7 linked regions of the Sus scrofa genome follow. The protein of the gene in region 6 binds, or shares a complex with, the protein of the main gene of each other region. Links are inferred from orthologs where the notes say so. Each region holds a gene or a part of one and is shown on either strand. Other genes may lie near its edges. The genes, in order: PRPF4, LSM4, SNRNP200, UBL5, PRPF3, SART1 and SNRPD2.

Region 1 (4,256 bases), on a different chromosome or scaffold from region 6:
GCTGTTATGTTTAAAACAACATAAAAAGTTAAAAAAGTCACCAGAGCACATGTGTACAGAAAAAGAAAATGTGTGGGAGTATTAATAGAAATGACAGAATCCTATCTGCAGAGGTCTTTCTACACCTTTCAGTACGATTTGAATTTCTTATGACAAATATGAATAATTTTATTTTAAAAACAGTGGACCACTAGTTACTGACATCAAAAGATATCCTCAACAGTAAACAGAATGACAAATGCAGGTTACGAAATAATTTATCATGATTTCATTTATAGAAAAAAATCTTGTATTTCTGTAGCTTTATTAAATTCTTGGAATAATATAGACCTAATTAATAAGGATTATAGGCTTTTCTACCTCACACATTTCTAACTAATCTCTTTCAAAATAAAAACAGCTATTGCTTTTAATTGAAAGAGATATTTCATTTTGGGTGAAAAATAATTGGAAAACTGAACAAGTTAGAATATTATGAACCAGGGTAGTTCCAAACCAATGCCAGAACTATCCTAGATATCCATAAGATAAGTGGAATCAATCTGAATCCAAACACACACTGAATAAATTCCCAGTAAAATTATTAACAATTCAGGGAAGAAAACCTGTATAAAAGGTTTTAAGAAAAAAGGTTCTGGGAGTTCCCGTCGTGGCGCAGTGGTTAACGAATCTGACTAGGAATCATGAGGTTGCAGGTTCGATCCCTGGCCTTGCTTAGTGGGTTAATGATCCGGCGTTGCTGTGAGCTGTGGTGTAGGTTGCAGACGCAGCTTGGATCCCGAGTTGCTGTGGCTCTGGCATAGGCTGGCGGCTACGGCTCCGATTAGACCCCTAGCCTGGGAACCTCCCATATGCCGTGGGAGTGGCCCAAGAAATGGCAAAAAAGACAAAAAAAAAAAAGTTAAAAGAAAAAAGGCTCTGGGGTAATGTTAAATGGGTAGGCAGAAAGTATGGCCTTCGAAAGATGCAAATTTTTGTTTGTTTTTTTGTTTTTTTGCTTTGTTAGGGCCGCACTTGGGGCATTTGAAAGTTCCCAGGCCAGGGGTCAAACTGGAGCTGCAGCTGCCAGCCTACAACACAGTCACAGGCTCTTGGGATCTGAACCACGTCTGAGACCTACACCACAGCTCAAAGTAACAGTGGATCCTTTAATCCACATTTGAATGAGGTCAGGGATCCAACCTGCATCCTCTTGGATACAAGTTGGGTTCGTGTAACCCGGGAGCCACAATAGGAACACCAATAGATGCAAGTTTAATATGCGAAGTTTTCTGACACTATACTTGTGATATCTACGTTTAGGAAAGTAAATATTACAGAAATTTTGAGCACCCAAAGTAGAGATGGACTACAGTTTGCATCTTACCAGAGGTTATGTTAATATTCCCTGCTTCAATTCCTGCTTTAAGTCCTTCTTTTCCCAAAATCCCAGACTCTCCTTTGGCCAGCCGTTCCCTCTCCTTTTCTTCCAAACTTCCATAATAGATGTGTGGTTTCTTCACAACAGGAGCGACTAAGTCATCAGGTGCCTTAGTTTTGGTTGCCTGTTAAATCAAAGACCTGGATGAACCTAAAGCTTAATCTCAGCAATTTGCTAGCTTCCCAGAGGATGAAGCTTATCCAGAGCTTCAATCCTATTCCCTCCCCCAAAAAAGACAAGTTGGACACCAATTAAGATGTATCTTCCCTGATGGAGTGGGGCAGGGGGGAGTGTTCCAGTCTCTCAGTCACTTTAAGTTTTGCAGATAGGAAGAGATAGATAAAACTAGTGAATTTCTCTTGTGATTTTTCTATCAATGGTTTGCTTTGGAACATGTTTACTTCATTTGGTTGGAGGTGCAATCTCTTCTTGGGTTTTATGAAACTTTCAGGGCCACTGCTCATCACAGGAGATATCAAGAATAACTGAAATAACCAACGCCATGATAAAGGGGAACAAGTTATAAAGTTACCGGTCTATACAATTCAAACGTTTTCAGACGCGAGGTAGTAGATATGAAGTTAGGAGGCCTCATTATAATCAAGACTGACACTGTCGTAAATCTTGGCCAAAACCCTACTCCCTTTCAGAGCTCCGTTTCTGAACGAGACGGAAGAGGTATTTACATTTTAGGGTTGTTGTAGTAAGAGATGAAAATGACCTAAAACACACTCCGGTCACTCAAAGAAAAACGCTGCTCAGCTCTCTAAGACCAGACCGAGTCTGGCAGCCTTCCTCCTCAGTCCTCCACCGCCCGTTCCCTAACGGCTCTGTTCTGCACGGACCCCCCACCCCTCCGCCCTCCCTGCCCTGCCAGAGTGAGCCGAGATCCGTACCGTGGAGGAGGCTCGCGAGGAAGCCATGCTGGGCTCCGAGGCCGCGAAGCTTCAGCAAGAGGCGAGCCCTACGTTCCAGACCATCCACCGCGCGCCTAACAAAGCGGAATTACGTCCAGACCGGAAGTGGGCCGAGGGCCGAAGCCGCGTCCTGGGCGCCGTAGAGCATGATGGGAATCGTAGTAGGAAAGGCTCTGGGTGCGTTGAGCGTTGTGACACGTACAGCCTCTAAAAAGAGCACGCGGAGGACGAGGTTCTGCGAGGAGAGAGACTCAGAGCAACCTGGGAGGTGTAGTGCAGTTGACATAGCAGAAGATTCGGGGTGGGCGCTGAGGTTCCGGGAAAGGGCTGAAAAGAGGTAGGTGCTTCAAGTCGCGCGCCTCCGGACTGAACTCCGGGAGTGAAACGGCACCTTCCGGGGTCTGCTGCCGCTCCCGGCCCTGCGAAGAGCTTTAAGTCCTCCTAGAGTGGTGGACCATGTTGCCATGGAAACCTTTGCCCCGGACCCAGGAGTGCGGTCCTGTAGCCGCGAAAGGAGTGTGCTTTCCTCCGCTGTCGGGAAGTTCTCTCGGCAGCTTCTTTTGAGCTGGGTGGATTTTCGGTGCATTTGGGCAGTGGCGAAAGAATAAGCTCGAAGAGCCCTCTAGCGCCAGAGTAAAATAAAGAGCCAGCGGAGGAGCCATGGCCTGTGTTTGGTCTATATTACTCGGAGTGAGATGAAGAATGTCAGGCGTCAGGTAAACTGCGCGCAAGCAGCTCTGCACAGCCCTGTGTTGCCCTGGGTGTTGGGGCACCAGAGATCGACAAGACAAGGTTTTTGCTCCCGTATCGGGGGTGGAGATTTTTCAAAATTTATTGTTGTTTCCCGAGCTGGACAGAGCCTCCTACCCTCTCCAAGGGCAGTTACAATAATAATGGCTACATATTTGAGCGTTTACTAAATGCCAAGTTACGTACGTTACAGGCACTTATCTGCATCACGTCATTCAATCCATACAACACCTGAGTACAGATACAAGGGAAGAAGCTAAGATCTAGTGAAAGGCGAAGCTAATTGTCCAAAATCAGTGGCAACAGAATTTGAGTCTCTGCCCTTTGCCTCCAAAGCAAGCACTTTTACCCATTACACTATACTTCTTCATAGTGGTGAGCTTTTTACAGCTTGCGGGAAAGTTAGAATGTATCACAGTTGTTTTTTTCTTTTAAGCATTCTCTTGGAACTTTGGCTTCCTCTTGCCTTTGTCTACGTTGGAATCAAGATCCTATTTGATTTGGGAGTTCCTGTCGTGGCGCAGCAGAAACGAATCCGACTAGGAACCAGAGGTTGTGGGTTTGATCCCTGGCCTTGCTCAGTTGGATCCGGAGCTTAAGGATCCGGCATTAGGGTGAGCTGTGGTGTAGGTCGCAGACGCGGCTCGGATCTGGCATTGCTGTGGCCCTGGCGTAGGCCGGCAGCCACAGCTCTGATTAGACCCCTAGCCTGGGAATTTCCATATGCTGTGGGAGCGCCCTAAAAGGACAAAAAAAAAAAAAAAAAAAAATCGTATTTGATTTAGTACCAAAAAATTTGAAATGTAATGTGTCAGTGTTTTGTGTTGATAATATCATTTGTCTCAGTCCCAGGCTTCATGGGAGGAGGGGAAATTTTATCTTTTGTATACTTCACAGTCCCTAGCTACATCCTAGAAACATGTAATAATCATTTATGTTTGTACATACTTTTTTTTTGCTTTTTAGGGCCGCACCTGCGGCATATGGAGGTTCCCAGGCTAGGGGTCTAATCAGAGCTACAGCTGCCGGCCTGTACCACAGCTCACCACAACACCGGATCCTCAACCCTCTGAGTGAGGCCAGGGATGGAACCCTTAACCTCATGGTTCCCAGATAGATTCATTTCCACTGCGCCACGATGGGAACTGTACATACCTCATTTTATTTAT
Region 2 (4,208 bases), about 53 Mb from region 6:
TAGAGAAGCTCAGGGTTTTCCTGGACAAGCCTGTTTGCTGTATCCACAACGGGAATCAGGACCAGAGCAATGACACACTTGAGTCCTCCTCCCAGATCACCGGAGACGGGGACAGGGCCAGGCCAGCCCCTGTCCTGGAAGGTGAGAATGAAAATGGACTGTGTGGAGAGGTGGAGGGAGTAGGAGTAGCACAGCCAAGGCCCCTCTAGATGAGGTACCAGCAGCTAGGAGGGACACCCAAGGATACAGAGCAAGGTCTGGGTAAAGCCGGGGAAAGCAGATTAATGCCTGTTAGCAGAAGACCCACAGATGTCCTTTTATGGCATACCTTGCCTTCAGGCTGTCTCTCTCAGGCTACCATCCTGTCCCAGCTACGAGTAGCACACCCCTGGAGGACCCACAGCCTTTGCAGCTGTTGCCAGCAGTGTGACCTCAGAGGACGGCAGCGACACAGATGGAACCAGCACCTGCTCACACCCTCCCCTGCACACCCGCTCCCTTGGCTAGCCACAGAGCCAGGCCTGACACGGCTCTAGCAAACTGGCCCGCTCACTTCTTCACACCACGCCTGGTGCTATTGGTCAAACTTTGTTCCTTGGTTCCCTCTACCTGGGGTGCCCTCCCCCAGGCTGGTGACTTCTGCTTCAGCCAGCCCCTCATTATAACCCCATCAAGGGAATGAGGTTTCCACCTGGGCCACCCTCTGCTTCTATTATAGGGTATAGCCAGTCTCTAATTAACTTGTTTATTTATTACGTCTCCCTGGCTAGACTGGAAACACCAAGCCTCTTGCTAGACTGGAAAATTCAGAGGGTGTGGACTTTGTCCAGTGCTGAACACTGGGCCAGGCACATGCAAGGGACTCAGTAAATATTTGCTGACAAATATAGCACATACCACCCAGGGAGGCACTCCAGGCAGGGGGTGGTGACAGGGGTGGGGTGGGGTGGGGAATACTTGCCACACCTCACAAGACAAGGAAAAGGAGAAGCTCAGGTAGGGAAAGGTGGCATTGGGACAGCCCTCCAAGACTTCAACAACCGCAGCAGTGGTCATATCTACTTCCTTGTTCCCAAACGCTGTTGGAGACAAAGGCCAAAGGAAGAGGAGGAACCTGGTGAACTTGAAAGCGAGGGGTATGCTGGGGTGGGGGAAAGCATGAAGGTGCCAGGGATACAGGAGAGGGCAGATCACCCAGTTCAGGGGGGAGCAAGGGCTGTGTGGAATTTGGAGTCATAAAAAGCTTCAGGGAAGAGAATTCTTTTCTCTAGCCTTTCTCAGAACATCTGGGGTCTGGCCCTCAGGTCTAGGTCCATCCACACCTAAATACATTTATTTATTTGCTTTTTAGGGCCGCACCCATGGCATATGGAGGTTCCCAGGCTAGGGGTCGAATTGGAGGTACAGCCACCAGCCTGCGCCACAGCCACATGGGATCTGATCCACGTGTGCAGCTTACACCACAGCTCACAGCAACACTGGATCCTTAATCCACTAAGCAAGACCTGGGATCAAACCCCCAACCTCATGGTTATTACTCGGATTCGTTTCTGCTGTGCCACAATGGAAACTTCCACAACTGGATTTAATGGTGTCCTGAGGTTCCCAACTCAGGAAGCTGCTGATCACCCACTCCCTCACCCAGACCTTGGCTTGGCTTCCGCCCCACCCCGACCACAAGGAACAGGCAGTGTGTAATGCCTTAGCCACTCCTGAACACAGACTTTGCACAGACACTGTTCTAGGCTCTGGCAATATATGAGGATAAAACAGAGATCCTATCTCCATGGAGCTTAACAAATGGATTCTTCCACAGACCAACTCTACCCTCCAGAGAGACGAACAGAGAGAACGAAGCTGCTCCCTTCTCTCCATCCCTACAATGACCAGAAGAATTACTGAACCCTCATGGTCAGCTCCGAAAAATGTGCAGCGACCATCTTAGAGGACTCGAGGGCTGATGGGCCAGGTTCTCTCCCAGCTCAATTCCTCTGTGTGGGCCTCCATTTCCCTGTCTGTCACTCACTGGGGACACAGGCACGCTGGTTTAGATCTCCAATTTCCACAACTTGTGAGATGGCATGGCCCTGGGGAGACTTCCTGCCAGGGCCTCGATTTTTTTGTTTTCTAAACTGGGATACGGTTAGCCCATCCATGGCTGAAAACGCCCCCCCTTCCCCTGGAACCATATGCTGTGTGACCCCGGAAGAAGTTAACCTTGCTTTGGGTCTGCTTTTTAGTCTGAAAAGGAGAGGCATAAGAGGTTGCGCAGCTAGCATTCCAAGGGCAGTACAACCCCCGAAATTCCCCAGATTGGCTGAATTTGAGAAAGAAGGCCGGCCCCCTACTGCCTGGTGCTCTAGCTTTACTGTCTAGGAGGTCAGATCGGGTCGGATGCACTGGGAGCCATTTCCCCGTCCGAAAACTCACTCTGCTGCATTCACCGGGCCCTTCAGCAGGTCCCCTTCCTCTCTGGCCTCAGTTTCCCCATCTGCAAAATGGGAAGACTGCTGCCAGACTGCCATACTGTGATTTCATTTCTATCCAATCCCAAGCTCCCCCGAGACCGACGTGCTTGGTGTCCTGGGAGAAGCTCTTCCACTCTCCGGCCTGTCCTCCCCACCTTGGGCGAAGGGGCAGGACTCAAGGCCCAGATTACAGGCTGGCTCCACAACGCCCCTGAACCAACAACCGCCCCGAGGGCCCTTGGCGGCCGGCTCCCCCGTCGCACCGCCCTCACCATGGTGTCGGCGGGGACTAGGCTCGTGGGCTACTTCCGCCGCCGCCGCCGCTCACGTTCCCGCCGGTAGCTGCAGCTCTGCGCGCCACTAGGCTGAAATGGAGTGGCAGCAACGCGAGCCAGTCAGCACGAGGCTCATGGGAAGGCCAACCAATCCACGCGGAGTAAGGCGGGGCCTATTAAACACGAGGGGCGGGGCGGGCCGCGTTCCTACCGGAGAAATGAGAGAGAGAGTCGTAAAGTGCCGCTATGAGTGCTGCAAAAGGGGGCGGAGCAATGTGCGCCGGCGCAGGAGGCCTTGTGGGTAAGGGCGCCTGCGCAGGTGCAATCTTCAGTGATTTTTCCGGGCTCCACGCTGTGGGCAAAACGGGGTAGTGCCTCCAATTTCCAAATGGAGGAATGGCAGCTCTATGGTTATTGCCATGTGTCCCTTCGAGCTCCTACTCTTCTGATTCTCTTTATTGTAGTTGACCGTTGTCCAGGGCACTTCTTTTGATAGGCTAGACGTACCGGTGTGAACCTCAGTTTGCTTCCCTTTGAAATGGGCTTAATAATAGTGTCTGCTTTAGAAGGTTGCAATGAGTGCCAAGTGATTTATGCCTTGTAAAAGAAGAGTGCCCGGCACGTACTGAGCACTTGATACACGGACATGCAATAAATATTTATTGAGCATCTACTACGGGCCTCCTCCTGGAAACACAGAAGAGAATAAACCAAACAAAACTCCTGGCCCTCCTGAGGTTTAGGAGCCCACTGGGGAGGCAGACTGTAAACAAAATAGACAAATGTATTAGTTTCCTTGGGCTGCCATAACAAATGATCAAACTGGGTGGTTTTATTTTTTTATTTTTATTTGAATATTTTTTGCTTTTTAGGTCCTCACCCATGGCATATGAACGTTCCCAAGCTAGGGGTCGAATTGGATGGAGCTACAGTTGCCTACACCATAGCCATGGCAATGCAGGATCTGAGCAGCATTTGTGGCCTACACCGCAGCTTCCTTAACCCACTGATTGAGGCCAGGGATTGAACCTGAGTCCTCATGGATACCTAGTCCGGTTCCTTACTGCTGAGCAACAACAGGAACTCCAAACTGGGTGGTTTTAAACAGTAAAACTTAATCCGAAAGACTGAAATCAAAGTTTTAGCAGAGTTGGTTCTTTCTGAAGGATCTGAGGGGCAATTCATCCCATGCTTCTCTGCCAGCAATCCTTGTAGTTCTTGGCACAGATTCCTCTGTCATCACATGGTGCTTTTCTTTGTGTGTCTCTGTGTCTCAACTCTTCCTCTTTTTTTTTTTTTTTTTTTTTTGTCTTTTTGCTATTTCTTGGGCCGCTCCCGCGGCATATGGAGTTTCCCAGGCTAGGGGTTGAATCGGAGCTGTAGCCACCAGCCTACGCCAGAGCCACAGCAACGCGGGATCCGAGCCGCGTCTGCAACCTACACCACAGCTCACGGCAACGCCGGA
Region 3 (3,594 bases), on a different chromosome or scaffold from region 6:
GTCTCACCTGGACCACTGTATGCATGACCACTTCAATGCAGAGATTGTCACCAAGACCATCGAGAACAAGCAGGACGCCGTGGACTACCTCACCTGGACCTTTCTGTACCGCCGCATGACACAGAACCCCAACTATTACAACCTGCAGGGTCAGCGGGCTTAGGAGCACATGTTATCCTTTTGCGGTTTCCACAGCCCTTGCTTGCCACCTCCCCATGACTCCCCGCTTACCTCTCACCTTCGCAGGCATCTCCCATCGTCACCTGTCTGACCACTTGTCAGAGCTTGTGGAACAGACCCTGAGTGACCTGGAGCAGTCCAAGTGCATCAGTATTGAGGACGAGATGGACGTGGCGCCTCTGAACCTGGGCATGATTGCTGCCTACTATTACATCAACTATACCACCATTGGTGCGGGGCCACCGGGGGCTGGTCTGAGGGGAACCTGAGCTTAGAGGGACCCTAGGCGGGGTCTGCAGCACAGAGGGATGAGTTATGACAGCCTTCCCGGGCCCTGTGTATTTGCCAGAGGAAAGCAATGCGGGCAGAGGTGGGGTAGCCCAGGCATTAACTCTCCTCCCTGCTCCTTTTCTGTCTGCGTTGACTCCTCCCACATCTCCTTCCCTGTTTCCCAGAGCTCTTCAGCATGTCCCTGAACGCCAAGACCAAGGTGCGAGGGCTTATTGAGATCATCTCCAATGCGGCTGAGTATGAGAACATTCCCATCCGACACCATGAAGACAACCTGCTTCGGCAGGTGAGGCTGTCATGGCTTCAGAACACCCTTGGAGTTGAAACTTGGCGGTGTGCCCACAGCACGTGATCCCCCGTCGCCACTGGCTCAGGCCTCACTTGCCTCCACACACGTCTCAGCCCCCAAGATGCACCCCTCCACCCGCCCCTGTGTTGTGAAGTATTGTGAGCCTGGGTCAGGTGGAGCTGTGGGCCCCAGAGCAGGGCCACCTCTTCATCACCGGCTCTTTTTCTTCCACATTCCAGTTGGCTCAGAAGGTCCCCCACAAGCTGAATAACCCCAAGTTCAACGACCCACACGTGAAGACCAACCTGCTTCTGCAGGCTCACCTGTCCCGCATGCAGCTGAGTGCTGAGCTGCAGTCGGATACAGAGGAAATCCTTAGCAAGGTATTGTTTGGGCACGGGGCTGGGCACAGGGGTGGCCCACGTGCCATCTGAAGCAGCAGTTTTGAACCACCCTCCCTTGCTCTCCTACCCGTGTTCAGGCCATCCGGCTCATCCAGGCCTGTGTGGATGTCCTCTCCAGCAACGGCTGGCTCAGCCCAGCCCTGGCAGCCATGGAGCTGGCCCAGATGGTCACGCAGGCCATGTGGTCCAAGGACTCATACCTGAAACAGCTGCCACACTTCACCTCAGAGCACATCAAACGCTGCACAGACAAGGTGAGCCGGGCCTGGGCCTGGAGTGTTGGTGGCCGAGCCTGAGTGTCCTGTGCTGGGGCGGGGGTAGTGGGAGGGGAGACTTTTTCTGAAGGTGTTACCCACGGAGATGCTAGAGAGCCTGATGGTTGTGGGCCGAGTCTTTAGGTGACCTGGTAGTGTAGGAAGTCAAATCAGCTGTTCTTTGGAGCCAGTTCCCTTTGCTGCTAGTCTGCATTCCCTCATCTTCCCTGACCTCTGAACGCCTACTGCAGGGGGTGGAGAGTGTCTTCGACATCATGGAGATGGAAGATGAGGAGCGCAACGCGTTGCTGCAACTGTCAGACAGCCAGATTGCAGACGTGGCCCGGTTCTGTAACCGCTACCCCAACATCGAGCTGTCCTACGAAGTGGTGGATAAGGACAGTATCCGCAGGTGAGCCAGAGAGGGCCAAGGCCCTCCCCCAGGGTCCCCACTGGGCACAGCTCTGATGCATACCTTGTGTTTGTCCCTGCAGTGGTGGGCCAGTTGTGGTGCTGGTGCAGCTGGAGCGAGAGGAAGAAGTCACAGGCCCTGTGATCGCACCTCTCTTCCCACAGGTACGGCTACTAGCTTTACCAGGGCTGCCCTGAGGCCCTACTAGCTGGCTAGAGTCTGGGCCAAGGGGTCCACAGTCACTGGAGTGATACCCAGGTATTTGGTATTTAGAGTAATACCCAAGTCATTTGGGTGAGGATTAATCTTGGGGCCATGGGTGATTGTGGTGGGAGTTTTTGCTTTAAAGCAATTTAGGTGACTGGTTCAAAGTCCCAGTTGTGCAGTGCCGTCGATATCCATGGCTATGAAGAATCATTTATCTTTACCTCTAAGTGGTCCAGGATAATTGGGCTTTTCTAGCTGGTGTTTCTTCTCCCCCCTTTCTCACTGCTACATACTGTTTCCAGTAGCTTGGCTCTTTACTGCCCAAAAGGAAATCTGACCCCTTACAGGGGAGAATGACTGATGGCTGAAAGCAGAAACTAGATACACTAATGTTTAATTTTATAAATGTGTTTAATAGGTTCTGAGGAAAGAGCACTTTAACTGGAATTCTTGGGCTTTCTGGCAGAGGAGCAGCCAGCAGAGAGGGATTCTTTATGGAGGCCAGGCCTGCTTTGGATCCTCTTCACTGGCAGGCTCATCTCCATGTTGCCATGTTTTCCTCTGACATACATGCTTTCACTTGAAAGGGTCTCTGAGGAAGTCCAGGTTGCCAGGCCCCACAGACTAGATGTCTAATCGTGGAATCTTGGATTTAGTGGCAAGCACTGAATGGGAGAAGGGACTTGGACCAGGAAAGGAGCCAGAACCAACAAATGAGTTCACCTACCTACCTAAAAGTTGATTTCTCTTGAGACACCTTTAGACAGTTTAAAATCTTAAATTAATTTTGGGAAGAAATTTTAGAAAGCTTTCTTTCTGGTTTTTGTTGTAACTTTCTTTTCTCCTGGTGTCATGGCCATCAAGTCTTTTTTTTTTTTTTTTTTTTTTTTGTCTCTTTGCTATTTCGTGGGCTGCTCTCGCGGCATATGGAGGTTCCCAGGCTGGGGGTCGAATCAGAGCCTACGCCAGAGCCACAGCAACGCAGGATCCGAGCCGCGTCTGCGACCTACACCACAGCTCACGGCAACACCGCATTGTCAACCCACTGAGCAAGGGCAGGGATCGAACCCGCAACCTCATGGTTCCTAGTCGGATTCGTTAACCACTGCGCCACGACAGGAACTCCCATCAAGTCTTAATACTCTGAAATTGTTGGCTTTTGGTCACTACAGAAACGTGAAGAGGGCTGGTGGGTGGTGATTGGAGATGCCAAGTCAAACAGCCTCATCTCCATCAAGAGGCTGACCCTGCAGCAGAAGGCCAAGGTGAGTGTGTCCACTGGCCCCAGCGCGTTCTGAGGTGGGCAGGGTGAGAACTCTTCCTCTGCATCGGAGCTCACCCTGAGCTCTACCTGCTCTCTCTAGGTGAAGCTTGACTTCGTGGCCCCGGCCACTGGTGCCCACAACTACACTCTGTACTTCATGAGTGACGCCTACATGGGGTGTGACCAGGAGTACAAATTCAGTGTGGATGTGAAAGAAGCTGAGACAGACAGTGACTCAGATTGAGTCCAGAGGCACCTGCTCTTGAACAGGAAGGGTTGAACCTGAATTAGGA
Region 4 (3,288 bases), about 62 Mb from region 6:
CTCTGTCCACTAGGATTTCATAAGTACCAGGAGATGTGGCTGCTTAACTATGCTTTATCTCATCTCCATAACACACCAAAGAAGTAAATACCATCATTTCCAATTTGGATAAGGCAATGAAGTTTAAGGGAGATTAAGTAACATGGTGCAGAGTCACAGCTGGTGGCAGAGGTGGGATTCCACCTATAGTCTGTCTGAATTCAAACCAGTATTCCTAACTACTGCACCTACTGTTCTTACTCAGAGGTTCCTCTATCTATTAGGATGCCAGTGATCCCAGGATTTCTTGACCTTCAGAAACATACGGCAAGCCCCAAAGCTCTGGTTTTCCAACTCAGGCTCCCAGCCCACTGGCTGACTCTTCACTGATCCAGTCAATCCTGAACTCTTACTGAGCAGCTAGTTACTGTGAAGATAGTGACAACCACATACCAACCCTCCCCTCAAGAGACAGCCCTCACTCAAAGATGACAACAATGAAGTAGCCTCTAAGTTTTTATTAACATGAGTTTTCAAAAACAAGCAGCCACACTATTGTGGGGGGTGAGGGTAGGAGAAGAGAGAAGGGCAAGGTAGGGGGGGAAGGAATTCTGCTTTATTGGTAATAAAGCTCCAGGTTCATCCCATCATGGATTTCATCTGAAGTAAATGAGTCAAGGAATCATCAGGGTGGGGTTGAACCCCCCCCACCCCTCCCATCTCTCACAGCTGGTAGCCACATTTTTGGACTAGGTCATTTTGATTTGAAAAGAATCCAAACTTTTAAATAAAAAGTACATGATCCTCTTGTACAACACATAAGCCTGAGTCTTACTCCACCGTGACTTCCTGCCCAACTAAGGTGGAACTCAGTAATAAATATTTTGACTGCAAACCCTCTTTTTTTTTTTTTTTTTTTTTTTGCCTTTTAGGGCCATACTTGCAGCATATGGAAGTTCCCAGGCTAGGGGTCGAATCAGAGCTGCAACTGCTGGCTTATGCCATAGCCACAGCAATAGCAACTCAGAATCTGACCTCGTCTGTGACCTACACCACAACTCAGGGCAAAATACTGGATCCTTAACCCACTCAGCGAGGCCAGGGATCAAACCCGTGTCTTCATGGATACCAGTCAGGTTCGTTACTGCTGAGCCATGATGGGAACTCCAAAGTGTCAAAGTCTTAGAAGCCATGTCAAAATACTTCACCAACCACCCTCCTGCCCCAACAAAATAATCACATGGCTCCCATTTTCTAAACACCATGTACCACATACTAAGTTAAATACATTATGTGCATAATCTCATATAGACTCCAGTCTATATATAGAACAAGGAGAACCAAGTCTGGGTATGAAAACCCTTCCTCAAGAAATCACAAAGGATACAGTCCCCCAGAGACACGTGGTCCTTAAAAATCGTGTACCTAAGGGATAAAAAGTTTTCAGAAAAAAACTTTAAAAAGGCTCTTCATTCTGGAGGCATGCTGAGGAGTTCTGCCTGAGCAAAGGGCTGGCTGCAGCACTCACCCACCCAAAGTCTCTGGCCAGCTCCTTTCCAGCTCCCATCTCCACCACTGTACTCACCACTTCTTCAATACGATCTTGTTCCAACGGGTGCCAGTTTGGGCTGCGATCAGCTTCTTAAGGTCCCCGATGGTGTCATCCGTACTGGGCACGAAGGAGTTAAGGAAAATGGAAGGGGGAGATAGAACGAGGAAGAGGGCATTCCAGGACCGAATGCACTCTGCCAGGATCCCACTCCCGTCCCCGCCTCCCAGGTTTAACTAGAATCACCCTACGGCACAGACTGAGCAGCCCGCCTCAAGCCAAGCACCCCCAGGAAACCACTGTCTCTTGGCCGCCAAAGGATACTTGCATTTAACGCGGACCTTCTTCCCCAGACGGTCGTTGCAAACAACCTCGATCATCCTGTCTGGAGCTACACAGGGTGGGGATGAGGAGGCAAGAGAATTTGGACTTCAGGGGTCTTCCAGGGTCCCAAGACCCCCAATTGTTGAGTCTTACATTCACGCCCCGCGCAATCCCCGACACTGAGGTCCTCCTGGGCCCCGAATCCTGTGTCCAAGGACTTCAGACTCCAGGCGACCGTGGAACCCAGGCAGCCAAACCTCCACCCCCCACTTGCCCCCCCGCCCTGGCCCCTTCCCGCTTCAGGTAGCCTGAAGGCCCCGCCTTGCCTCTCGCAGTCCCGCTGATCCACTATGGTCAAGTTCCATCAGCTTTCCCCGACTCCAGCCCTCTCCACCCGGCCCTCTCACCAAGAAACGCCTGGAACCAGCAGACGCCACAACCTCTTCGCTGGAAGGTAGAGCCTGGGACAGAGTCGACGCTAAGAACCGGAAGCGGAAGTGCTCGGCCGGAAGCCCTGGCCCTGGCTCCTCCCAGTGCCTGTCAACACTCCGCAGAGTTCGCCGCCTCCTGGGCGGGAAGTCGGTTCCCAGGAGCGGATTTGTGGTCCCAAGCCTGGGCAGGAGGACACCTGCAGACGGTGCACGGGGCCAAGTGAAGGTCGCAGCCCGTGCGGAGAAGGAACATGGAGAGTCAGAGGTCATGGACTGGCGCCCAGCCGATTGGATGCCGTTGGTTGAAAGCCCTTCACTGTGCCGAAACGCCGTCAGGTGTGGCATCTGCTGGGGAGGCCAGGGGCTCCTGAGGGACGTCCTGGGAAGGGGGGATGACCTCCTGTTCTTGAACCCGATGAAGCCTCTAACTGCAGCTTCAGGGCTACGGGGAGCTTAGGTCGAGTTCTGAGGCATCCGGTCCGCCCTCCTGCCTTCATTCAGGGTTTGGAAACGTTTTGCTCAGCCCTCCCCTCTGGCTATCTCGCCAGGGACATCTGGGGTGCAAACTAAAGCCAGCAAGCGAAGGAGCCTCCTGATCCTGGCCTGAATACTAGTATTTACCAGAATGAAGTTCCCATTGCACGCCAACCTGCAACACTGACAAGGAAGCTGGAAGCTGCACAAGCGCAAAATCTCCCAGGGCTGTTTCTCACGCCCTGCAGGGGGCACCTTGTACCAGATCCTAACCTTGCCTTTCGGATCCAGGGCTGGTGTGACACGGAACACCCCTCCCTAGATCCAGCCTGCCAGTAGACAGACCTAACCGTTGAACTGTACTTTCTCAGCTGACAGTATTCTCCTAGTTTGGAAAGCATAAAAGGATTCACTCTGAAAAGGGGCCTCCACTTCTGATTCAACCGGTACACTTTCTCAAATTGGGATGAGTTTAGGTGAAAGACATGAGATTCCATCCTGGGGAAAGGGCAGATGCTTGGTAACCTTGTC
Region 5 (4,107 bases), on a different chromosome or scaffold from region 6:
AGAAAGTATCAGTGGATCAATGAAATCTGTGGAATAAACAAACCCTGAATTTAACCTAGTCTAAGAAATGAGTTCCAGCTTCTTTTTTGATTCTGTCATATTCAAGGATTGCAAATATTTATATAAAGTCCACTTAGAGGTCAGCTTTTCTATTCTTATTTCCAGGCAGGTATTCCTCAACCCAGCCGTTCTTCTTTTTTTTTTTTTTTTTGGCAGCACCCATGGCATATGGAAGTTCCCGGGCCAGGGAACGAAGCCGAGCCAAAGCTGTGGCATGGCCAGATCCTTAACCCATTGCACCACATTGTGAACTCCAACCCAGGCCTTCTTTAAGGCATGCAAATAAGGGAGGCTTTATCCACATCAGTCATCCTATACTAAAGCTCATAATCCTTAAGGCTGTTTTTGTCAATTTTTTTTTTTTTTTTTTTTTTTTTGTCTTTTTAGGGCTACATCTTCAGAAGTTCTCAGGCTAGGGGTCCAAACGAGCTGTGGCTGCTGGCCACAGCCACAGCCACAGAGGATCTGAGCCTTGTCCATGAGCTATATCACAGCTCACAGCAAAGCCGGATCCTTTAACCCACTGAGGGGACCAAGGATCAAACCCGAATCCTCATGGTGACTAGTCAGGTTTGTTACCACTGAACCACAATAGGAACTCGCTCTCACAATTCTCTGTAGTCACATTCATCCTAGTGGGAATTCTGTACTCAGATATTTTTCTCTTATGTTCTACAGGGCCTCTGTCATAAATATTCTCTCAGTTCAGAAAAGATTACTTTCATTTTGGATGTACTCTCTTTCCACTTCTATTTTTCTCCTGTTTAGCTTAACAGAGAAAACACCATCATAAAAGACTCTCTAGAACAATCTTTAAATGCAAATTAATACGATTCTTCTTCTTCCTTTTTTTTTTTTTTTTTTGCTACTGTACGTTCTGGGGCCAGGGATGGAACGTGGACGACACAGAAGCATCTCAAGCTGCTGCAGTGACAACACTGGATTCTTAACCCACTGAGCTACAAAAGAACGCTTCAAGATGTTTTAAGATGGAGTTCCTGTCATAGGATAGTGGTTAACGAATCCGACTAGGAACCATGAGGTTGTGGGTTCGATCCCTGGCCATGCTCAGTGGGTTGAGGATCCGACGTTGCTGTGGCTCTGGCGTAGGCCGGCGGGTACAGCTCCGATTAGACCCCTAGCCTGGGAACCTCCATATGCAGCCCAAGAAATGGCAGAAAGAAGAAAAAAAAATTACACTGTACCTTTTAGGAGAAAAGATATCCAGAAAGAAGAAAAAAAAATTACACTGTACCTTTTAGGAGAAAAGATATCTTAAAACTTTTTTTGCCCCCCTTGGGCCGCTCCCACGGCATATGGAGGTTCCCAGGCTAGGGATCTAATCGGAGCTGTACCCGCCGGCCTACGCTAGAGCCACAGCAACGTGGGATCCGAGCCGAGTCTGCGACCTACACCACAGCTCACGGCAACGCCGGATCCTCAACCCACTGAGCAAGGCCAGGGATCGAACCCACAACCTCATGGTTCCTAGTCGGATTCGTTAACCACTGAGCCACGACAAGAACTCCGGTACAGTCTAATTAACTTCTGCATTCTTGGTAGGTTTATCCTCTATAAGACCTGTTGCTAAACAGTGTATTTAATTTTGGTATAACCATATGAAGCTAGTGAAGTCATGAAACTAGGAGTAAAAGATTTTGTGTCTTACTGACATGTTATATAATAAATCTATGATGGCTCTATTTACCCATCATGAGACAGCACTATAGCTTATCAATTTCAACATGCTAACTGTTCAATGCTCAAAAGAAGGGTATTCAGACAACATAGGGAGTGAAGAAAGAGCTCTTCCATTTACTAACCTTCTGTCAAGCAATTCCTCTGAGCCTCAGTTCATTCATCTTACAAAAGGAGGACAACTGCCATAGCTATCTGGCACTTAATTCATTCAGTAAGTATTTACTGCACAACAACTAAGTGTTAATGTAGTGGGATACTGCCAAGGATACATACAACAGTGAACAAAAGAGACAAGAATCCTCACCTTAGAGGGCTTATATTCCACTAGAACTGAATCATAGATTAGAAAGTTTAAGCCGTTTGAAAATCCAAAGCAATAAACGGGGTACCACTCTATAAACGAACCGTATGCCCAAGCACTATACTTATGTACTCAATTTCAACCCATTCCCTCCATAATATAACGTGCAGACTAAACAGTCAGTGGGCAAAAATCAAACTTCCAAATAGTAACTAGCTTTGTCATTAATCAGACGTTCAACAATAACTGCGTGGGGCGGGGTGGGGGTGGTTACGGTGTGGAGGGAGAGAGAGGAAGGCAGAATGATCTCAATGAGCAGGTAGCAGAATCTAATCTTCTGAAGGAATTCCTTACTTCGTGCTCTTCTTTGCTACAAGTCGAATTTCCTCCCTTAAACCCTATCCTTTGCTTTTTGCTCTCTCCATCTCTCTGACCGGACCCTTTCCCCACCTTGTTCTACCCAAACTCATCTCAGAGGTAGTCTCCTCACCCTGTCCCTTTCCCGCCCCCGCCCTTTTCCTCTCAACAATCTCATTCCAACCCGTTCTCGCACAGAACCTGGTTCTTTCCTCAGCCTCCTTTCTGTTGAACCTCCCGCCTCGGTCCTCCCTTTGGACTGAAACTTAGCCCCAGCCGCTAGGACCCGAGCATACCCTCTCTGGGCCCGGGGCCACTACTCACCTCACAAACTTCAGCCCCTGAGACGGAGCCCGAACGTTACACCGGAACCGGAAACCCTCCGACCGCCCTACGGCCTGCCGTCGCTACCGCCACGGCTGCTGCCTCGCCACGGTCCCACAACTTGTGACGAAAGAGGGCGGGGCCCCGGTTCGCGCAGCCGTAGTAGCTACTTTTCCGCGGCGGAGCGCATGCGTGGCGGAGCCGTAACGATTTCCCCCGGCAAGCTACTTGGCTCCTTCGGTTCCCCGTGCTAAACCTGTTAACTACATTAGCGCAAAATTAATGTTACCTGAAGCATAAATTGAGCTGCTTGTAGTATTCCCGTGGAGAATAAGTGCGCTAAGGCTATGGCTAGAACTAAAAGCAGAGCTTCTGCGTTTGGGCTAAACCTGGACTTTCTGGTAGGAAGTAAACTTCAGAGTAGTGATCGTTAGTATTAACCACTCTCTCCTTAGCCTTTGTCCTTAACAGTGGTGCCAAGAGACCCAGAAAACCGACTAGTGTGGGAGGAGTCTGAAGATAGTACCCTCTCACACACCTTTGTTTCTTTCTTCCATTCATTCGCAAAACAAATAATTGCTGGCAGTCTAGTACTTTTTAGGCCCCACCTGCAGCATATATAAATTCGGGTTAGGGGTTGAATCAGAGCTGCAGCTTCTGGCCTATGCCACAGCCACGCAGAATCAGAGCTAGGACTGTGACCTACACCACAGCTCAGGGCAACACTGGCTCCTTAATCCACTGGGCAAGGCCAGGGATGGAACCTGTGTTCTCATGGATACTAGTGGGGTTCTTTACTCGCTGAGCCAGGACAGGAATTCCTAATCAACCATTTTGGTCCTCAACTAATCCTTACCTAACAAGCACCTTTACTTCTTGCCAGCTCCAATTATAATTCTTTTCTTTTTTTTTCTTCCTTTTTACGGCCTAACTTGCAGAATACAGAAGTTGCTGGTCTAGAGGTTGAATCGGAGCTGCACCTGCTGGTCTGTGCCACAGCCACAGCCACACTGGATCTGAGCCGCACCTGTGTTCTACACTGCAGCTTGCTGCAACACTGGATCCTTAACCCACTGAGCAAGGCCAGTTTGATGTGGGATCAAACCCACATCCTCGTGGATACTAGTTCTTAACCCCAATTATAATTCCTCCAATTATAATTTTTAATAAACAACTTATTTAACTACCTGTAAGCTTGTAAGCCTCCCCAATTTTGTAGTCCAGCAGAACACGATTCAAGTGCTTCTTAAACCTGTGTCTCCCTCAGTAAAGAACTTATATAAAGCTAAACTCATGAAGTTCCCACTGTGGCCCAACAGGATCACAGCATCTCTGCAGTGTTGGGATGCAAGTTTGATCCCTGG
Region 6 (3,594 bases):
TCTGGGGACCCGGATCGCGGGGCTCCGCCCTCCTCTGGTGGAGACACAGAAGTCGCCTGCCTGCTCAGGTCCTCTCCGGGGCCCCGGGCCCCCCAGGCCCCCGTCCCACCCCCTCTGCCCCCTCTCAGCCGCTGGGCCCTCACCCTCGTCGCTGATGTCCATGTTCTCCACACGGGTGTCATCTGACTGCGGGGGCAGAGGCACCGGCTCCTTCTCCTCCTCCTCCTGGGCCTCCTCGTCCGCCTCGGGCACTCGGCGCCGACCCCGGCCCCGCAGCCTGTGGGGAGAGGCCTCCGGGTGAGCTCCGGCCCCGGCCGGCCCAGCCCCCCACGCCAGGCCCACGTCTGAGCCCACCTGGAGCCGAAGTCCCCGTCCTGAGTCTGGTCCCCGAGAGGCAGCAGGTCGTCGGCCCGCACCACCACCTCCTTCTCCTTCTTGCGGATCTTCTTCACCCTCCGCTTGGTCTTTTTAAAAGTCACCTGGAGGGAGGAGAGCAGAGGAGACGCGGTTTCGGGGAGGCTGGCAGCTCGGGCCCACGAGAAGGCAGGCCGCTCTAGTGCTACCCTGGGCCGGCCATGGTCCTGAGCGCCTCAGCCACGTGAACGTGACACAAGGTGTGGACGCCCCTCACTCCACCTGTGAGATGAGGAAACCCGAGCTCAGAGAGGCTAAGCGCCTCGTCCAAAGTCACCCAGCCTCCCAAGCAGGAGAGCCAGGACCCTGCATCCCGGGAGTCCGGCTCCAAGGTCTGGCTCTTAACCACTGAGCCAGGCCATCTAGCGAGCCAGCTGCCCACCTGCTATTCAATCTTCCCACATGCAACATCTACTGACAGCTACGGACTCAGCGCTCAGCACGCGTCACCAGTCCTTGTAGCAGCCCCTTACTCGGTGGCTCCTGTCACCCGTTTCAGACCAGAGCTCAGGCCTGTCGCTGAAAGACTCACTCTGTGTATAGACTGACTATGTGGCAGAGCCTGAACAGCAGCACAGGGCCACCTGGCTCACGGTCTTTGCTCTGTGTACACCCACCGCTGCCCTGCAGCACCAGGGCTGCCGGTTACTGCTTGTCCACAGGGACTGAGCACCAGGCCATAACGCGACCCTCCCACCTCTGCTCATCCTGGTGGCAGGCGATCGCGGAGGGGAGGCAGGATCACGACCGATCGTGTGCGGATGGGGCCCCAGGGCTCACCATCTCCTCTGGCGTGAGGTACTCAGAGGCGAGCCGTGGCCCAACCGAGCTCAGGGACTGAGCCTGCAGCCGCAGCTTGGCCCGGATCTCTTCCAGCTCCCGTTCCCGGAGGCCGTCGGCCACGCCGCCCTGCTCCAGCCGGAAGGACTGCGGCCGCTCGCCCTCGAGCTCCTCGTCGTACTTGGACAGGATAGAGCGGGGTTTCTGCTGCAAAGCAGGAAGTACAGGTTGGGACCCAGCCTGACCCCCGAAAAGCCACAGAGCCACCATCGCCTCAGGGGCTCCTCGGCCGCCACCGCTGCCGCCCTCTGTGCTGCCGGCCTGCCTGGGCCAAGTCGTCCACGCTCTCGTTCTCCGCGTACGGCGAGTAGTCGGGCTTCCTCTTGCGCAGCTCCACGTTTTTCTCCGCCCGCTCCTTGTCTAGCAGGTTCACGTTCACCAGCACGTCCTCCTCCTCCTGCAGCACCCCTGGAGACGAGGCAGACGCAGCAGCCGGTCACGCGCGCCCTCGGCCCGGCCCGTGCCCAGGCGGAGCACCCCGCTCAGCCCACCTTTGTCCTTGAGGGTGAGGATCACCGTCTCCCCCTCTCGGAAGGCGTCGATGGCGTGCTCCACGGTGAGGCCCTGCAGGTCCCGGGCGCTGTACAGGTCCTAGGCAGAAAGAGGGGTCCAGCTCAGCCGGGAGCCGACCCGCCCGGCCCTGGGATCCCAGCACCGGGATGGCAGCCCCCCGCCCCCCCATCAGCTGCTGAAGCCTCACCTGCCGCCTCTGCTCGAACTCTTCCTCCACCAGGGTGCTGACACCAAACTCCTGGTCCATCTCCTCCAGCAGCTTGGCCTACAGGACAGGGAGGGGGTGACCTCTGACCTCACGCTGTTCGGGATCTCCAGAGGACACGGGGCCTCACTGAGGGGGGAGCTCAGAAAGCACATGCCGGAGTTCCCGTCGTGGTGCAGTGGTTAACGAATCCGACTAGGAACCATGAGGTTGCGGGTTCGGTCCCTGCCCTTGCTCAGTGGGTTAACGATCCGGCGTTGCCGTGAGCTGTGGTGTAGGTTGCAGACGTGGCTCGGATCCCGCGTTGCTGTGGCTCTGGCGTAGGCCGGTGGCTACAGCTCCGATTCAACCCCTAGCCTGGGAATCTCCATATGCCGCGGGAGCGGTCCAAGAAATAGCAACAACAACAACAAAAGACAAAAGACAAAAAAAAAAAAAAAGCACATGCCTTGCAGACAAGCTGCCGAGAACCCAACACAGGCACCACGGACCATGGGCCTCCTACTGCTCTGGGCCCAGCCTCACTTCTCCAGGTCAGCCCCTAGCCTCACCAGCCAGTCAGGCCACCAGAGGTGCTAAGCCACACCCCGGCTGCCCAGGACCTCACCCTCTTCTCTGCCAGGTCCTTCTCCTTCTGAAGCTGCCGGCTCCTCTCGATCCAGGCTGCAGTGTCGTCCAGCCAGGGGTCATCCTCCCCCAGAGTCTTTATCTTCCTGAAGAGGGGCGAGAGTGACCCTCTGGGGAGCCAGTCCCGGCTCCCCGACCCACCTTGGCAGCTCCTCGGCGCCTCCCCAGGCCCCCACCCCACCCCCCAGCCTGCCCAGCTGGGACCCCTCACCCCAGCTTCTGGTTGAGGAGGCGCTTTTCTTTGGCAGCCGCCAGCTTCTCTCGGAGTTCTTCTCGCTGTCGCAAGGCCATGGGGTTGATGACATCGGCAGTCACGGGCTCCTCCTTGGTGCCCGCCTCTGGAAGGGAGGCCCAGACGTGAGGCTATGCCTGCCCATGGCTGGTGGGGAGAGGAGGGAGCCACTCACGCTGCCCCTTCCAGCTCAGGGGCCAGAAGGTCCTTCACCCCCCCACTCCCACAGGATCCCGCACTCCCATGTCACCCCCCAGGCCTTCCTCCAAACCCCCTCTGATCACATTTGTTTTGGGGGGGGGGCATGCCTGTGGCATACAGAAGTTCCTAGGCCAAGAATCAAACTCTCAACACAGCAGTGACCTTAGCCACAGCAGCGACAAAACTGGATCCTTAACCACTAGACCACCAAGGAACTCCCCTCTGATCATACTTTTAAAAAAACCGCAAAAACACACTCAACACCTACACAGGCCAGATTAGTGCACAGCAACTGTGCAGATCTCTCGGCCCATCTAATGCTACCTCACAGCCAGAGTGAGGTTGTGACGCCAACTGCTCCAACAGAAAGAAGGAGCTGAGTCCCGGATCCGCGTCACAACAGCCGGGAGGGCCCCGCCCCGTGCCCATCGCAGCACGCACGCGCACACGCGGGACCACGACTGGTGCTGAACCTGTGCCTCGGCCCCACTCTCCTCAAAGACCGCTTCAGGGGGCCTCCCTCTGGACCCGACCAGCCCACCCTCCCTCCCTCCTCAGTCCC
Region 7 (4,169 bases), on a different chromosome or scaffold from region 6:
AGTCCCAGCCTCTGGAGCTGGAGGTGACAAACCACAGTGCCTGCTCAGAGCCCGGAGCCCTCACAGCTCAGCAGGTGTCAGCCTGGGGTACTGACCGCTTTAACCATGCAGCTCCCCTCCTGTCAGGCGGGCAGGCTGGGGCTCTTCTGGGCACAGCGGTGTCTACAACATTGCAGCACAGAGCTGGGCACAGAGGAGACACTTGGGGGATCGTTTGACTAAAGAAATGAAGAAAAACAAAAAAGACTGAAAGAAACTTAAGAGTGAAACCAACTTACTGAAAGAGAAGTAGGGAGAAGGGAGACAGAGAAAACGATGAGTAGCTGGAAGAAATTAAGCAGAAAAGACAGCAAAATCTCTCTCTGCTCAACCCATTCCCCTCACGGATGGGGCAAGTCAGGCCTCTTCACGGTTCAGGGAGGACCCCTCCCCAGGGCTCAGCCTCATGGCCAGCTGCCCCCTCCCCGGCTCAGCCCCACTTTTTAGGCCCCAGGAACAGACAGATGCCTCTAGAAAAAACGCAGGACTTTATTATTCCCATCACGAAGGGCAGGTCTTCACGAAGGAGGGAGCAGGAGGGCGGGCGGGCGCCTACTTGCCGGCGATGAGCGGGTTCCGCAGGACCACGATGACCGAGTCCCCGCGCAGGAACATCTTGGAGATGTAGCGGTCCTTGTTGACGGGCTTGGACTTCTTCTTGCCCTTGCCGCTCTTGGGGACCTCAGTCCACATCTCCTTCACGTTCTCCAGCACCATGTTGCAGTGCCTGGCGGGGAGGGAGCATCGGGAGTGAGCGGGACCCTGACCGCCCCTCCTCCAGCAGCGCAGGCCCGGGACCAGGCTGGCCGGCTTCCAAGGCCTCCTCTGTGAGTCCCTCGGCCCTCTGTGCCTCAGTTTCCTCCTCTCTAAAACAGGGATGCTCACAAGGAGATCCTGCTGAATAGCACTGAGAACTTTGTCTAGATACTCATGTTGCAACAGAAGAAAGGGTGGGGGAAAAAATGTAATTGTGATGTATACATGTAAGGATAACCTGACCCCCTTTCTGTACAGTGGGAAAATAAAAAAAATTATTAAAAAAAAAAAATAAGGAGTGCCCGTCGTAGCGCAGTGGTTAACGAATCTGACTAGGAACCATGAGGTTGCGGGTTTGGTCCCTGCCCTTGCTCAGTGGGTCAACGATCCGGCGTTGCCGTGAGCTGTGGTGTAGGTTGCAGACGCGGCTCGGATCCCGCGTTGCTGTGGCTCTGGCATAGGCCGGTGGCTACAGCTCCGATTGGACCCCTAGCCTGGGAATCTCCATATGCCACGGAAGCGGCCCAAGAAATAGCAAAAAAGACCAAAATAAATAAATAAATAAATAAATAAAAAATAAAATAAAATGGAAGAATATGCAAATAAATAAATAAATAAATAAATAAATAAAACAGGGATGCTCAGAGTTCCTGCTGTGGTGCAACGGGGTCAGGGGCATCTCTGCAGTGTCCTGCAGGACACAGGTCTGATTCCTGACCCGGCATAGCGGGTCAAAGGATCTGCTGGCGCAGCAGCAGCACCGACCTCGCAACTGCAGAACTGTGGCTCAGATCAGATCCCTGGCACTGGCCGCAGGGAGGGAAGAAGGGAGGGAGGGAGAAAAGACAGGAAAGGAGAGGAGAGCAAGAGGGAGATGTTCACAGAGCCCACCTCCTCGGGCTGTTGTGAAGAATAAATGAATCGATACGGTATTCCCATCAAGCACTCAGAACAGGGCCAGGCACAGGATAAATGGTTTTGCTTGTGCTTTTTAACTCTGAGCACTTCTGAAGGCATCAGCAAAGGAACAGCTTCTCTTTGGAGAACCAGCAGTCCCTGGTGGCCTGACGGGGTACGTGATGCCTCTGCTCCAGTTCTGCTCTGTCCCTGTCCTCAGGGTGCCGGGGGCGGGGTGGGCGGGACACGTGATTCAGCTCACTCAACAGAGAGACAGACACTCTAGTGACTGACGGGGGAAGAACACTCAGCAGGTAAACAAGACACCTGAAATCTACTGGCAGGTGGTGTCAGTGCTATGAAGAAAAATTCAAGCAAAGTAAAGGGACAGGAGGTTACAGGGAGGTATCATCCCGCCTGAGAAAGGAGACCCCTGAGGAAGCCCCGTCCTCGCTGTGGCGTGACCTTGAGCACATAGCATTGGGCGGGAAAAGCAAGGAAGGGAACAGTATGCACAGAAAGCCATCTTCTGAAACAACGAAAACACTTTCTGTAGGAAGACGGGAGTAGGAAAAGCAAATACTCCACCAGGTGTCCAATACAGAATCCTTTTTCAGAAAGGATTTCTTTCTTCTTTCTTTCTTCTTTTTTAGGGTCACACCCATGGCACATGGAAGTTCCCAGGCTAGAGGTCTAATCGGAGCTGTAGCTGCCAGCCTACGCCACATCCACAGCAACGCCTCTGCAACCCACACCACAGCTCACAAGATCCTTAACCCACCAAGCAAGGCCAGGGATCAAACCTGCATCGTCATGGATGCTAGTCAGATTTGTTAACCACTGAGCCACCAGGGGAACTCCCAATATAGAACCCTTGAAAGCCACCTAGAGCCTGGTGACCGTGGGTGACCTAGACAAACTGGGGAGAAATTGGATGGAAACTTTTTTTTTTTTGTCTTTTTGCCATTTCTTGGGCCGCTCCCACGGCATATGGACGTTCCCAGGCTAGGGGTTGAATCGGAGTTGTAGCCACCAGCCTACACCAGAGCCACAGCAACGCAGGATCCGAGCCACGTCTGCGACCTACACCACAGCTCACGGCAACGCCGGATCCTTAACCCACTGAGCAAGGGCAGGGATCGAACCCGCAACCTCACGGTTCTTAGTCGGATTCGTTAACCACTGCGGCACGACGGGAACTTCCTGGAAACTTTTTTTTTATTTTGTCTTTTTAGGGCCACACCTGAGGCATATGGAGATTCCCAGGCTAGGGGTCGAATCAGAGCTGTAGCCGCTGGGCTATGCCACAGCCACAGATCTGAGCCACGTCTGCGACCTACATCACAGCTCAGGGCAACGCCGGATCCCCGACCCACTGAGCAAGGCCAGGAATTGAACCCGCATCCTCGTGGATACTAGACAGATTCCTTTCCACTGCGCCACAACAGTAACTCCACTACTAGGCCTCTTTAAGACTTTCCAAGTTTTTTTTGTTTGTTTGTTTGTTTGTGTTTTTTTGTCTTTTTGCCATTTCTTGGGCCGCTCCCGCGGCATATGGAGGTTCCCAGGCTAGGGGTCCAATCGGAGCTGTAGCCGCCAGCCTATGCCAGAGCCACAGCAACACAGGATCCGAGCCGCGTCTGCAACCTACACACAGCTCACGGCAATGCCGGATCGTAAACCCACTGAGCAAGGGCAGGGACCGAACCGGCAACGTCATGGTTCCTAGTCAGACTCGTTAACCACTGCGCTACAACGGGAACTCCTCCAAGTTTTTTGTGTGTGTGTGTCTTTTTGTCTTTTCTAGAGTCGCACCTGCGGTATATGGAGGTTCCCAGGCTAGGGGTCTAATCGGAGCTGCAGCTTCCAGCCCACACCACAGCCATAGCAACGCCAGATCCAGGCCGCATCTGCGACCTACACCACAGCTCACGGCAATGCTGGATCCTTAACCCACTGAGCAAGGCCAGGGATCAAATCCGCAACCTCATGGTTCCTAGTCGGACTCATTAACCACTGCGCTGCGACAGGAACTCCAAGACTTTCTAAGCATTAACTCATCAATCCTCACAGCATCTCACCCCCAGGAGGCACACATTGGAGTTCCTTCCAGCTTCCAGAGCAGGAAACTGAGAAGAGCGGGATGAAGCCACTCACCCAAGGTCAGACAGTTTGGAAGAGGCAGAGCCTGAGTTCGAATCCAGGTCTATCTGCCTCCTTGGGCTCGGCACTTCCTATCGTTCTCGTTCTCACTTTACTCAAGAGTAAATTGAGGCTCAGAGTGAAAGCTTTGTTCTTGGTCCCACAGTAGCCATTGGCAAAAGCAATCCAGAGGTAAGCTTCACCCCCCTGCCGAGAGGAAAGCACTTCCCTGATGCTGAGGACTGCCAATGGTTTTTTGCTGTTGTTGTTATTTTGGTTTTTTTGTCTTTTTCGGGCAGCATCTGTGGCATATGAAAGTTCCAGACTAGGGGTTG

What was found.
Region 1: SART1 (region 6) and PRPF4 share a complex: the UniProt entries of both Homo sapiens proteins name them as parts of the U4/U6-U5 tri-snRNP complex. The link is inferred for Sus scrofa from reciprocal best matches to the Homo sapiens genes SART1 and PRPF4.
Region 2: SART1 (region 6) and LSM4 share a complex: the UniProt entries of both Homo sapiens proteins name them as parts of the U4/U6-U5 tri-snRNP complex. The link is inferred for Sus scrofa from reciprocal best matches to the Homo sapiens genes SART1 and LSM4.
Region 3: SART1 (region 6) and SNRNP200 share a complex: the UniProt entries of both Homo sapiens proteins name them as parts of the U4/U6-U5 tri-snRNP complex. The link is inferred for Sus scrofa from reciprocal best matches to the Homo sapiens genes SART1 and SNRNP200.
Region 4: the proteins of SART1 (region 6) and UBL5 are in contact, whole or in part, in a crystal structure (PDB 4PYU), measured with the Homo sapiens proteins. The link is inferred for Sus scrofa from reciprocal best matches to the Homo sapiens genes SART1 and UBL5. Residues at the interface, in NP_005137.1 of Homo sapiens: Ser117, Leu118, Ser119, Ile120, Thr123, Leu126, Arg127, Leu130, Leu132, Lys133, Leu135; in NP_001041706.1 of Homo sapiens: Met1, Glu3, Arg15, Lys17, Cys18, Asn19, Asp21, Asp22, Asp26, Lys29, Leu30, Ala33, Gln34.
Region 5: SART1 (region 6) and PRPF3 share a complex: the UniProt entries of both Homo sapiens proteins name them as parts of the U4/U6-U5 tri-snRNP complex. The link is inferred for Sus scrofa from reciprocal best matches to the Homo sapiens genes SART1 and PRPF3.
Region 7: SART1 (region 6) and SNRPD2 share a complex: the UniProt entries of both Homo sapiens proteins name them as parts of the U4/U6-U5 tri-snRNP complex. The link is inferred for Sus scrofa from reciprocal best matches to the Homo sapiens genes SART1 and SNRPD2.

Annotation. Positions count from the first base shown.
Region 1 is NC_010443.5:253,904,882-253,909,137, reverse strand, and holds the start of PRPF4 (U4/U6 small nuclear ribonucleoprotein Prp4), read right to left. Parts: upstream 2,881-4,256; 5' UTR 2,675-2,880; coding exon of another isoform or gene 2,484-2,674; 5' UTR 2,344-2,483; coding exon 2,317-2,343; intron 1,545-2,316; coding exon 1,367-1,544; intron 1-1,366. Other genes in the region: anaphase-promoting complex subunit CDC26, read left to right, coding at 2,484-2,674. UniProt on the Homo sapiens protein: Plays a role in pre-mRNA splicing as component of the U4/U6-U5 tri-snRNP complex that is involved in spliceosome assembly, and as component of the precatalytic spliceosome (spliceosome B complex).
Region 2 is NC_010444.4:59,498,211-59,502,418, reverse strand, and holds the start of LSM4 (U6 snRNA-associated Sm-like protein LSm4), read right to left. Parts: upstream 2,860-4,208; 5' UTR 2,744-2,859; coding exon 2,741-2,743; intron 2,492-2,740; exon of another isoform or gene 2,431-2,491; intron 769-2,430; exon of another isoform or gene 329-768; intron 1-328. UniProt on the Homo sapiens protein: Plays a role in pre-mRNA splicing as component of the U4/U6-U5 tri-snRNP complex that is involved in spliceosome assembly, and as component of the precatalytic spliceosome (spliceosome B complex).
Region 3 is NC_010445.4:46,956,555-46,960,148, forward strand, and holds part of SNRNP200 (U5 small nuclear ribonucleoprotein 200 kDa helicase), read left to right. Parts: coding exon 1-149; intron 150-246; coding exon 247-411; intron 412-635; coding exon 636-757; intron 758-999; coding exon 1,000-1,143; intron 1,144-1,241; coding exon 1,242-1,418; intron 1,419-1,669; coding exon 1,670-1,830; intron 1,831-1,912; coding exon 1,913-1,994; intron 1,995-3,209; coding exon 3,210-3,302; intron 3,303-3,401; coding exon 3,402-3,545; 3' UTR 3,546-3,594. UniProt on the Homo sapiens protein: Catalyzes the ATP-dependent unwinding of U4/U6 RNA duplices, an essential step in the assembly of a catalytically active spliceosome. Plays a role in pre-mRNA splicing as a core component of precatalytic, catalytic and postcatalytic spliceosomal complexes.
Region 4 is NC_010444.4:68,705,207-68,708,494, reverse strand, and holds UBL5 (ubiquitin-like protein 5), read right to left. Parts: upstream 1,913-3,288; 5' UTR 1,909-1,912; coding exon 1,853-1,908; intron 1,649-1,852; coding exon 1,565-1,648; intron 1,405-1,564; coding exon 1,367-1,404; intron 640-1,366; coding exon 596-639; 3' UTR 546-595; downstream 1-545. UniProt on the Homo sapiens protein: Ubiquitin-like protein that plays a role in cell proliferation and sister chromatid cohesion by associating with spliceosomal proteins. Participates thereby in pre-mRNA splicing by maintaining spliceosome integrity.
Region 5 is NC_010446.5:98,768,862-98,772,968, forward strand, and holds the start of PRPF3 (U4/U6 small nuclear ribonucleoprotein Prp3), read right to left. Parts: upstream 2,864-4,107; 5' UTR 2,744-2,863; intron 1-2,743. UniProt on the Homo sapiens protein: Plays a role in pre-mRNA splicing as component of the U4/U6-U5 tri-snRNP complex that is involved in spliceosome assembly, and as component of the precatalytic spliceosome (spliceosome B complex).
Region 6 is NC_010444.4:6,366,771-6,370,364, forward strand, and holds part of SART1 (U4/U6.U5 tri-snRNP-associated protein 1), read right to left. Parts: intron 2,938-3,594; coding exon 2,811-2,937; intron 2,686-2,810; coding exon 2,580-2,685; intron 2,033-2,579; coding exon 1,955-2,032; intron 1,846-1,954; coding exon 1,746-1,845; intron 1,663-1,745; coding exon 1,520-1,662; intron 1,402-1,519; coding exon 1,195-1,401; intron 480-1,194; coding exon 355-479; intron 278-354; coding exon 144-277; intron 35-143; coding exon 1-34. UniProt on the Homo sapiens protein: Plays a role in mRNA splicing as a component of the U4/U6-U5 tri-snRNP, one of the building blocks of the spliceosome. May also bind to DNA.
Region 7 is NC_010448.4:52,035,392-52,039,560, forward strand, and holds the end of SNRPD2 (small nuclear ribonucleoprotein Sm D2), read right to left. Parts: intron 767-4,169; coding exon 592-766; 3' UTR 509-591; downstream 1-508. UniProt on the Homo sapiens protein: Plays a role in pre-mRNA splicing as a core component of the spliceosomal U1, U2, U4 and U5 small nuclear ribonucleoproteins (snRNPs), the building blocks of the spliceosome.